Linked DNA regions of Arabidopsis thaliana. The protein of the gene in region 2 interacts with the protein of the main gene of each other region in a pairwise test. Each region holds a gene or a part of one and is shown on either strand. Other genes may lie near its edges.

Region 1 (5,080 bases), on a different chromosome or scaffold from region 2:
GTTTAGAAGAGATACGAACCACCATTGTCACCCTTATACCGATCCGAGCGATTAAACGAAGGCCGGTCACGAGAGACTTCTCCGGGCTCATAGTCTCCGGCGGCGTTGCGGCCGTCTTCTCTGTCGTTGCTTCCGGAGGGACGTACGACGAGACTGCTGATGTGAGGCGGGTGATGTTGCGTCGTCTGCTCTTTTTCTGTCGACCCCATTTCTCTCCGATTGTCAAAACTCACTCCTGGAATTTCTCGATGTCCGTTTCAGAGAAAAAAAACCCTAGGGGAGACTTGGCGATAGATACTGGTAACTGTTATTAATTTATCTTTTGGTCTATCAACTTTTGTCTAATTTTCAATATTGCCCCTTAAGTTTTATATTTAGTATGTTGGACTAGTATGACTGATTCATGGAGTCAAATGTATTGTGGTTCTGGTTTTCTTCTTTTTATAGTAAACAACAGTTCACATTTCTGGAAGAATCAGATTCAGTTATGATTTTTGTGTGTGCTATTTTTGTTGTTTATGATATCAGTTTTGATTATGTAATTTGGGTAACTGAAAATAATTTATCTTAGCAAAAACTGGATGACATATAGGATAGGCTTTTATTCCATGGTCTCATTATTGAAGGGTTGCTACTACACATGTTGATAACTTGATATGAAAAGTTCAAAATTGATCAAAATATAGAAACAATTAAGAAATACAGATCCTAGAAAGCAAAACTCGAGTATATATAGATTTTGTTTCATTGTTACTTCAGATGAAAAATAGGGTAAAGAATGGCCTGGGCAACAAGAAAACTAGCTCTTCAGCTAATAGCTAAAGGCTAACACCGACTTTCCAATTGTAAATGTTACCATTTTCATACGAGGGAGGCAGAGAGAGAGGAACAACACACACACACACACAACACATTTTTGACAAAGTAGGCGAATTCAGGGGAAGTCGGGATGATCAAGATGCTCAACCATGGACTCTGCCAAGGAGAGATAAACACATAAAACTGAGATCGATGAGAGAAACAAAGCGCAAAAAAAAGTTGTGAGATCAATGAGCAAACGAATTTCAAAAGTTTTTGCCGCCATTGATACCTAAACAATGTCCTAACGAAAAGTTAACAATTTTCTAAGCGGTATTCTGTAACAAGATCTTCAAACAACAAAGAGTGTTGCATCAATCAAGACCTAAAGAAACACATGTCAGGTTTTGGTATATACCCATTCTCTTTGAAGAAGAAAGAGAGAGAGAGAAGAGACTGATTTATGTGTTTAAGCGAGCCAGAGCTTTTGACTGCGTACCTTAAATGCCAAGGTCAGGGGAATTCTATTGTAAATCCACTACTGGTAGGCTTTACATTCATGGGTCCAAAGCCATCAAAATCTGAATCTGAATCCATTTCTCTGTAATCATTCCACTTTCTCGGAGAATCCTCATCTGGTCCACTCATTGTCGGAGGCACATAGAGCTCTGAAACTGGAACTGGAAGAGGCTCTTCACTTAAATATTTGTCATTCAGCATCTCCATAGTAGTAGCTCTACTAGCTGGATCATAACAGATAAGCTTCTTGAGCAGCGATATCACATCCCCTGAATGGTTGGGAAGGCATCCTTCAATACCAAGAGGAGATTCTACTTTAGCAAATGAGATTGACTTGTAGTCTGGAAGATCAACACAACCAGGCCAGACCTCTTCATTTAAATTTCCCAGCACATTGGTCACTCTGCTGATCTGATCAATATCTGAAATTCCTGGGAACAAAGGCTCAAGAGACAAGAGTTCTGCAAACACACAACCAAGCGACCATAGATCGACCTCTAACCCATACATCGTAGATCCATAGAGCAGTTCTGGTGGCCTAAACCATCGGGTTCCCACACAAGATGTCATCAAACCCTGTGTATCATCCACTGCTTCGTCAGCATCGTAAGAAAACGAGTTCCTACCGAGATCATCATCCATTTCACTAACAGTGCACGTTGCAAGGCAAGATATGTCTCCATCATGCACATTCGAGTCCTTATCAGTATCATCTCTAACAACCTGTTTAGCCTTGAGCTCTTCCACCTGTCGGAAGTACTCGTCTTTACTCATCGCTTCCCGTTCCTGACCATCAGACCCTTGCCTAGGTGAGTTCTCATAATCAGGAATAACTTCTGGTGGTTCGCTGGTTTCTCCATCTTTGTCTTCCAGTTTGTAAGCTTGTTGGTTTTCATCTGAAGCTACAATATCATGCTCCATGAGTATCCTAGCCTGTATATGAACCAAGAAGCCAACACACATTTAGAAACTCATAGATTACACTAAATGATAAGGTCTAGCCACTTGATTACACTAACTCTTCCAAATTTCAAGCAAACCAAGCATTTTTCATTCAGAGGTTTCTCATATTTGTGCATCAAACAATGAAATAACTAACACAATCAGTAACAATCATAATCTCACCTGACCAAAATCAGCAAGCTTAAGAACTCCATCATCAGAAATCAACATATTCCCAGGCTTCAAATCTCTATGTACAATCAAATTCCGATGACAAGCATCAACACCGGTTAAAATCTGAATCATCCATCTCTTAATCTCCCCAACCGAGAATCCATCCCCTCCTTCTACCTTCTTCTTCCTCTTACCATCTCGGATCACCGCAGCGAGATCCGACCTAAGAAACTCAAGCACAAGCACAGCGTTCTCTTCCTCACGCCAGAAGTATTCGTGCATAACAACTACATTAGGAGATCCATTGAGGATGGTGAGCGCGTCAATCTCCCGGAACGCAGATTGGTAATCGAAAATCTCCTTGAGCGCGACGATTAGACCGTCGGAGAGACGGCGAGCTCTGTAAACGTCGGCGTAAGCTCCGGATCCGACTCGCTCGAAGATCTCGTACTTGGCGATTATCTCCGGCCGGGTATGGATACTCCAACTGGTCGCCGGTTGTTTATCCATCTCCTTTAAAACGGCGTCGCTTTTCTTCGGATCTTTCCTGATGATGGATGATTATTCACATAAACGCTAACGAATTCACCAGTTTAAAAATCCAGTTCCCATGTTGTAATGACTAAAATGCCCTCACAAGTTTTGGAGCGGACAAGAAACCAAACCGCAGGGGGGGACTTTTATCACTTATGCCACTTTTTTGAAAAAACTGATCTGGACTGCCATAAGTTAATCTGAATGCCACCGAAAATGTGATATACCAGTTGTACCCTTAATGAGTTGATTAAAAAAATGAAAAAGAAATTCAAAAGCTAAATAAAGAAAATCGAGTTCGGAGATTCTCCTCTTCGTCGTCGTGTTCTTCTTCTTTGGTCGACGTTCATCTTCTTCGTCGGCCACCATCGATTTCCTCATGCCGCCGACTTGAAATCCGGCGTAAAAGCCACGAATTAGGTCAGTTTCTTCTCATATTTCCTTTGACATTGGTGCATTGTGATTTTAGATTGGGATTTTGAATTCTATATAATTCCCAGCTCGATTCAATTTGATAGTTTGATGATTGGTTTGCAAAGTAAAGAGTAATCGATTAGAGGTTGCCGAAACGTTATTTGAGGTGATGAGCAAAGGAATGTAGGTTGAATGTGAGTTGAATTTGAATTCCGAGATTTCATATTAAAGATTTGGGGGGTTTGTGTTTGCAAAGTTTAGATTAACCAATTAGTTTAACGAATAGGTATGTATTAACATTGGAAATCAATTGAAAGGTAACGAATTAGGTTCAGTAGAGACGAGTGCGACGAGAGATTGATTTCAACGTATGATAAGAGTACATGTGGTATAACTATTAAAATGTTTGATTGGAGTTGAACTGGTTGTATTTTCAGGAGCGATGAAGAAGAAGATCCACACTAAGGTACATTTTGACTTTGGAGGATACTATTCTGAAGTGAATGAGTGGATTGGTAAAAATTCACTATATGTTATATCGTTTAAGACGAGTAGTTTGGAGAAGATTAGCTATTCGATGTTAGTTGACAAGATCATGAAGAAGGTTGCGATTGATGAAGCTTCTGTCAAGTTGAAACTGAGTTACAATCTGTCTAAAGTTAGGAGAGAGACATATATTGTAAATGATGAGGATGTCTTCATATTTTTAACAGAATCTGATGAAGAGAGTCGGATTCCTGTTTTGCATGTGGAGGAATTAAATGGTATAGGAGTTGAGAGGAGAGAGGAAATTTCTGTACCGGAGCGTCGAAGTTCAGTTGGTGTAAATGTAATAGAGGATGATGTTTTAAATGAAGTATGTGAGATGGTGCATGATGGATATGATAATGATGTGAATGATTGTGAGAATGTAGTAGGTACGGAGATCGTGGCTATCGAAAGGCCGATGGAAAGGCCGGTGAATTCTGTTGAGGAACAAGATGAGGATGATAGGATTGATTATGATGATATTCACGATATTCCACGAAGTGTAGAAGTTACTCCGCAGGTTATAGAATGGGATGATGGTACGGGTATTGAAATTGGTCAAGAATTTTGTTCAAGGGAGGCTGTGTGGGAATTGGTTAACAGAGCTGCAAAGAAAGAAGTTTTTGGAGTCTATACTATTAAGTCAGACCCGTTGAGACTTATGCTACGATGCCGCCAAGCTTCTAAAGGGTGTACTTGGTATCTAAGAGTTGCGAGAACTAAAAAATCTCATTTTTGGAGTGTTAGAGTGCATAGAAAGATGCATACATGCTCTCGGAGTGTTGAGACTACAAGCAACAGTATACAGCGAGGCACACCAAGATTAATAGCATCGGTTTTACATTGTGATTATCCCGGAAATTTAGAGACCCCAACTCCAAAAAACATTATGTCGATTGTAAGAGGAAGACTTGGGGTGCATTGTTCATACTCCACTGCCTTAAGAGGCAAAATGCTACATGTTAGTGATGTGCGAGGGACTCCGGAAAGAAGCTACACGATGTTATTTTCTTATCTTTACATGTTAGAGAAGGTAAATCCAGGGACAGTAACTTATGTGGAGTTGGAAGGAGAGAAAAAGTTCAAGTACCTCTTCATTGCATTAGGCGCTTGCATTGAAGGTTTTAGGGCAATGCGGAAAGTGATAGTTGTGGATGCAACTCATCTTAAA
Region 2 (5,260 bases):
CTTTTTGTTTTTTATTTGTTTCCTTAAATATTTTTGATAATTATGATTTTTTCTTTAAATTTAAGAAAAATCTTCCTTCGTTCGTTTTATTTATCTGAGCCCACTAAGCCAAAGATTTTGGTCTTTTCTTATGTTTGGTCGATTAATATATACACTAATCAAGAAACTGACCCTTTTCAATATATTTCTACTACTTTACAAGTTTCCTAGAACCACATCAACCAACTAAAAATATCTCAAAAATAAGACAAATTTATTTACTAAAAATTCTACTAAAATAAACTACTGAATTTGGTTGAACTAGCTAAATTGGCTGAATATTTCGATTTTTGTTTAATAGAATATCCAAAAATAGTAAAACTAGCTAGTTAAATGGAACGATCCGCTACATTTGGTTGAACTAGCTAAGAGTTTTTTTGCTTGTTTTTGAAACATAATCAGCTTTTTCTCTTAATCCCACAAATGATGTATCACTTGTATTCCAATTCCAGCCAATTTAGCTAGTTCAACCAAATTCAGCAGTTACCATTAGTTAAGGATAAAAATTGAACCATACCAAACGACAAAAGCATTAACAGATTAAAGTTTAAACTTTTTGTGCTTTTAAAAATTCCTTTCAACATAGATATATAATCATAGAACTGAAATGGTATCCATTTGTAAATTGTAACAATAAAGGAACGCTAGAAAATTAAAACTACACGGTTAGCTACTTTAAGTTTTTATTTTTTTCTACAAAAAACCAAAAGATAACGCTTCGATTTGCATGTAATAATCTCTATTGTAAGAGTTTTTCTGTAGTTTAACGCAAATGAGCAAAAGAAATTTGGCTTGTGATTAGAGAATTGAAGTTACGCCCCGCAAGTTAATCTACCTGATGATTAAGTCATTTCTCCCGACCAAACTCTTCTTGATATGACCTAAATGTCTCGTTGTAATGCGCAAAAAGACCAAGTAACTCTGTTCACCAAAAAAAAAAAACTTTGGTTTGTAAAAAGTCCCCACAGATTATTATAGATATAAGGAAAACATATATGAAAGAAACTAGTTTTTTACCAGGATTGCAATATGATGGTTGGTAAAGAGTAGAAAGGGCTTCGATAACTCCAAGTCTACCTCTTGGCCTAATGTTGTTTCCCATATCGTTACTCTCAGAAGTGCCTGCAGGAGTGGATGATCCAGAGGCAAAATTCTTCACGTCCGGTTTCACATCATCACATTGTTCTTGCTTGATAACAATGCTTGTGTTTTGATTTCCATTACGCTTGCTGTCTTCTTTAGAACAACCTGATTTGTTTCTCTTTGCGTTAACGTTTGTGAGTTCGGTCCCAAATGCCCGCTTTTTAGGCACATTACGATCACATAAGCTTGCAGAACCATCAATGAATCTGTTTTCAAATATGGTTTTAGATCCCAACCACCTATATGCCGGCTTCTTAGTCTCTGGGACATGAGTCTGCATGAACACAAAAGATGAGAGAGATTTGAGTATCCAAGATTGTGCATATTGTAATATTTTAGGAACAGGCTCATATAGTAATTGTACCTTCTCGATTAGCTTCATTGAGGAAAACACATTTGCAATGTCGTAAAGGCGTCTAACTTTCTCTGCTTAGAGTTTACAGAAATGGGGTTTGGTTATTGCTTATGTATGTAATAATCAGAGAACAAAAAAGATTAAGGGAAGGAATTAGAATTACTTCTCATATTCATATCCTGAGACTCATTCAGCAATGCTTTTGTAGCGCTATCAAATGTTACCAGATCATCCTGACATCAAAGTAGCAACAATAGAGGTGTCAATAAATTGGTCATTGGTCAGACTTGTTTAGAGAGATGCCGTAACACTTATTCACTTACATCAGAGCATAAAAACAGCTTCACAAAGTTCTGTGCAAGTAGCCAGAGAGTTCTCTCCTTCCTGTTGTCTAAAAATAGCAAAAACAACTAGTTAGCTTCCAACACGAATCCTATCCTGAACAATTTCACTGACTAGAGTATTCTTATGCAAAAATCACAAACAAGGACTAGTTTTCATTTGTATCAGATTTTAAACTGAAAGTAAATGCATGGACTAAATAGGAAAATGCATAGAGTAATACTGAGTCCATCACTAATCAATGATGTTCCAACATAAGATATTACCAAGTTAGCTTCCAACACGAATCCTATCCTGAACAATTTCACTGACTAGCGCATTCTTATGCAAAAATCACAAGCATAAACTAAGGGATCCTAGACTGAAAGTAAATGCATGAACTAAAAAGGAAAATGCCTAGAGTAATTAATACTAAGCCCTTCACTATAATCAATGATGCTCCAACATAAGAGACATTACCAGGTCTGGGAGATGGTGAGAACTCTTGATCATCAGGAGATAACATGAAAGATTCTTCTCCTTCTTTCTCATAAACGACCTATTCAAATAAGAATCTCGTTTCATTGATGTTTATCAGAATCATAAGCACAACAAAGTAACTGAAATATGAAATTACCATCTCTGACTTGGCCACAAAAGGGACGATCGCAAACTTCTCTTTCATTCCCTCTTCCTGTAAAACAAAAGACACAAAACTCAAAACTCAACCAAACCAATCCTGAAGAAGCTAAACAAAAACAAAAAAACATATAGATTGATTCGTTTATTAAGTACTTTGAGTTCAGATAGAGCACGAGGAACAGCTCCAAAACCTTTCCACGAATACTGATTCTTCCCACTTCTTGCAACAAGCTGTGTAACAAAAACACAACATCACAAAAACTAATCACCTCAAAATTTCAAATCAATCAAACACAATATGAAAATAAAAAAACATCATCAAACATGAAATATTATACCCCAATACTCTCCAATATATTGACCACATCATAAATACGCCGACGTTCAACTCCTACAATTTCAGATACCAACCAAAATTAAAACAAAGCCAAAATGATATTGCGATTTTCTTGTCTTTTTATTCTAGAATCAATTGGATAACGCATAATATAATTTATCCAAAACCCAATCGAACACAAAATTAATGGGAAGACATGATAAATAAAATTCACCTAATTTCGCGGCGGCATCATCGAGCCCAAATAGATCAACATCGGGACGATTATACAGTGTCAAGAAACTGAAAGTAACATAAATAGAGTAAGTAGATATTAAATTCAACGGAAACGTGAATTTGAAAAATCAAAATCAGGAGAATCGTAATAGACAGAGAGAGAGAGATACTTGGCGACAAGAACGCCGAGAGATTTGTCCTTGCGGCTGTAAACCTGGGGAGCGAGAGCGAGAGAATCCATAACCTGGGTGGGGTGGGTGGAGACAACAAAAGATATTTTCTCGGTGACCTGCGAGAGAAAGAGAGACAAGACTTGTGTTTGGATCTGAGCTTTGTTGTGACCTCGGAAACCTTTTATAATTATAGGCGGGGTCTTTTCAAATTAGGAAATACTATCACTTGTTTTCCCGGGGTTAAATGTTATTGTCTAATTTTACACTTTGCTTTTTGATTTTTTACTTTTCTTTAATAGGTATTACTTTTAAATTAATTTGTAAATATTTAGTGTATATATTTATGTAATTAGAGGTTTTAAACATGTTAATAATCATGTAATCATAATTTTATAGCAAAAAGATTTGGTTGTTATTGTCCTTTTTATGATATCCATTCGATAAGGTTTCTTTTTACATGTTGATAATACTTTCTATCATTAGTTTTTCAAAAAAAAATATAACGTGTCTCTGTAGCTCACGTTTTTGTTACTTATTTCTATCATTAGTTTTTTGGAAAAAAAACTTATGTGTCTTTATACCTTGAGCTTTTTGTTACTTATTTGATATTTCCATCATTCATTGTTCAAAAAAAAATATTACGTGTGTCTATAGAACGCGCTTTTTATTTATACTTAAAAAGGATTTTATGATATGAGTCACACATTTATTCATATGAACACGAGATTGATATATTTCCTCAGAATAAAGATTTTAGCAAGTAAAGCAATGAAGCGGAAAAGTTTCTCATTAACATGACGTATCAAATTCATCGTTATTGATCAGCGGTTTAAACTTCAATGGTTAATATGCATTAAAAATGTTTAGACTTTCAACCCTTTATTAGTGTACATGTAGGACTTTCGTATAAAATTTAACCGTTTTATGTAAATGCTTTATCTTTCTAAATAATATATCGTGTTCCCGAAGTTTAGATAGGATATTTGGCTCTTATTCCTCGAAAGAGAAACTCAAATAGTTAAAATGGTAAGATCTTTTATTGAGCCGTTCTAGGGTTTCACCGTAAGAGCAATATAAGTTTTCTTGCACCACCCTTTATGGTGGAAACATTTTGCCTATTATCTTTCAATAAGTCATGTTGTCGAAACATGGAAAACCCGTTCCTCATGCTAAATTTTATGTTTGTGTAAACGTTGATGATTTTTTGGCTGATAATTCAGTCTCACATAGTTTTGAACGAGTGAAAGCCATCAAAACTTTGTCTTATGCAAGCGATCCACATGTGGAAAACTGTAGTATTCCGTCAAAACGTAACAAAAATGTCAAAAACTCTTTCGATCAGTGTGTTGGAAGTTAGTTTAATATGTTCTTGTAGTTGAGATCCGATCAAATGAAAGGAACAAATGAGACAAGAGACAACGGCATGGAGAATATTGTTAGGAAAATATAGCTTTAGAAATCACTTATGTTTTGCATGATATTGGAGAGTATTTTTGCAAAACAATTTCCTGACTAAACATAGAAAAGTGATACTTTAGTTTACATTTATCACAAAATTACAAACTTTATTGTAAGTGTTTTCTCATAACTAAACTAATAAAATAATACCGTGCAATACCGACCTACAATGCAATACACATGTTCTAATGATGTTTTAGTTGTATGTAAAACGTGATCATCTAGCTAGGACTTTTGCAGAAATTGTTTTTTTAGACCTTTAACGTAGAAATCTGCATTTATAAATATTTTGAAACAAAAAGTCAAAATTTAGTTATACTATAAGATAATAAATTTTATCATTAGTCTTTCAAAGATTTGATGATTAATAATTTTCCTATTTTCTAATGATACCATACAAATATTAAACTCTTAAATATAATAATAATTATAATTATAAAACTGACCTTAGGGTTATCTAATAATAATCTAAACCAGTAAAGATACTAGACTTACTCCACAACAGTAACCGACCCCAAAAAAAGTTACTCACCAACTTGGGCCTTAAAAAAAAGTAGCGTATGTCGAAAAGACCAT

Evidence for each region.
Region 1: the proteins of DEL2 (region 2) and CAK1AT interact in a two-hybrid assay, tested with the Arabidopsis thaliana proteins (one large-scale study listed by BioGRID).

Annotation. Positions count from the first base shown.
Region 1 is NC_003075.7:14,286,334-14,291,413, reverse strand, and holds CAK1AT (CDK-activating kinase 1AT), read right to left. Parts: upstream 3,018-5,080; 5' UTR 2,944-3,017; coding exon 2,443-2,943; intron 2,251-2,442; coding exon 1,312-2,250; 3' UTR 1,298-1,311; exon of another isoform or gene 976-1,297; 3' UTR 501-975; downstream 1-500. Other genes in the region: AT4G28990 (RNA-binding protein-like protein), read right to left, coding at 20-209. UniProt on the Arabidopsis thaliana protein: CDK-activating kinase that modulates CDKD-2 and CDKD-3 activities by phosphorylation of the T-loop. Activates CDKD-2 C-terminal domain (CTD) kinase activity. Activates CDKA-1 probably by phosphorylation.
Region 2 is NC_003076.8:4,842,000-4,847,259, reverse strand, and holds DEL2 (DP-E2F-like 2), read right to left. Parts: upstream 3,406-5,260; 5' UTR 3,295-3,405; coding exon 3,224-3,294; intron 3,120-3,223; coding exon 3,052-3,119; intron 2,892-3,051; coding exon 2,839-2,891; intron 2,732-2,838; coding exon 2,654-2,731; intron 2,575-2,653; exon of another isoform or gene 2,553-2,574; coding exon 2,496-2,552; intron 2,418-2,495; coding exon 2,339-2,417; intron 1,929-2,338; coding exon 1,861-1,928; intron 1,771-1,860; coding exon 1,701-1,770; intron 1,609-1,700; coding exon 1,547-1,608; intron 1,457-1,546; coding exon 1,057-1,456; intron 961-1,056; coding exon 887-960; 3' UTR 596-886; downstream 1-595. UniProt on the Arabidopsis thaliana protein: Inhibitor of E2F-dependent regulation of gene expression. Binds specifically the E2 recognition site as a monomer without interacting with DP proteins. May be up-regulating E2FA and down-regulating repressors of cell cycle progression.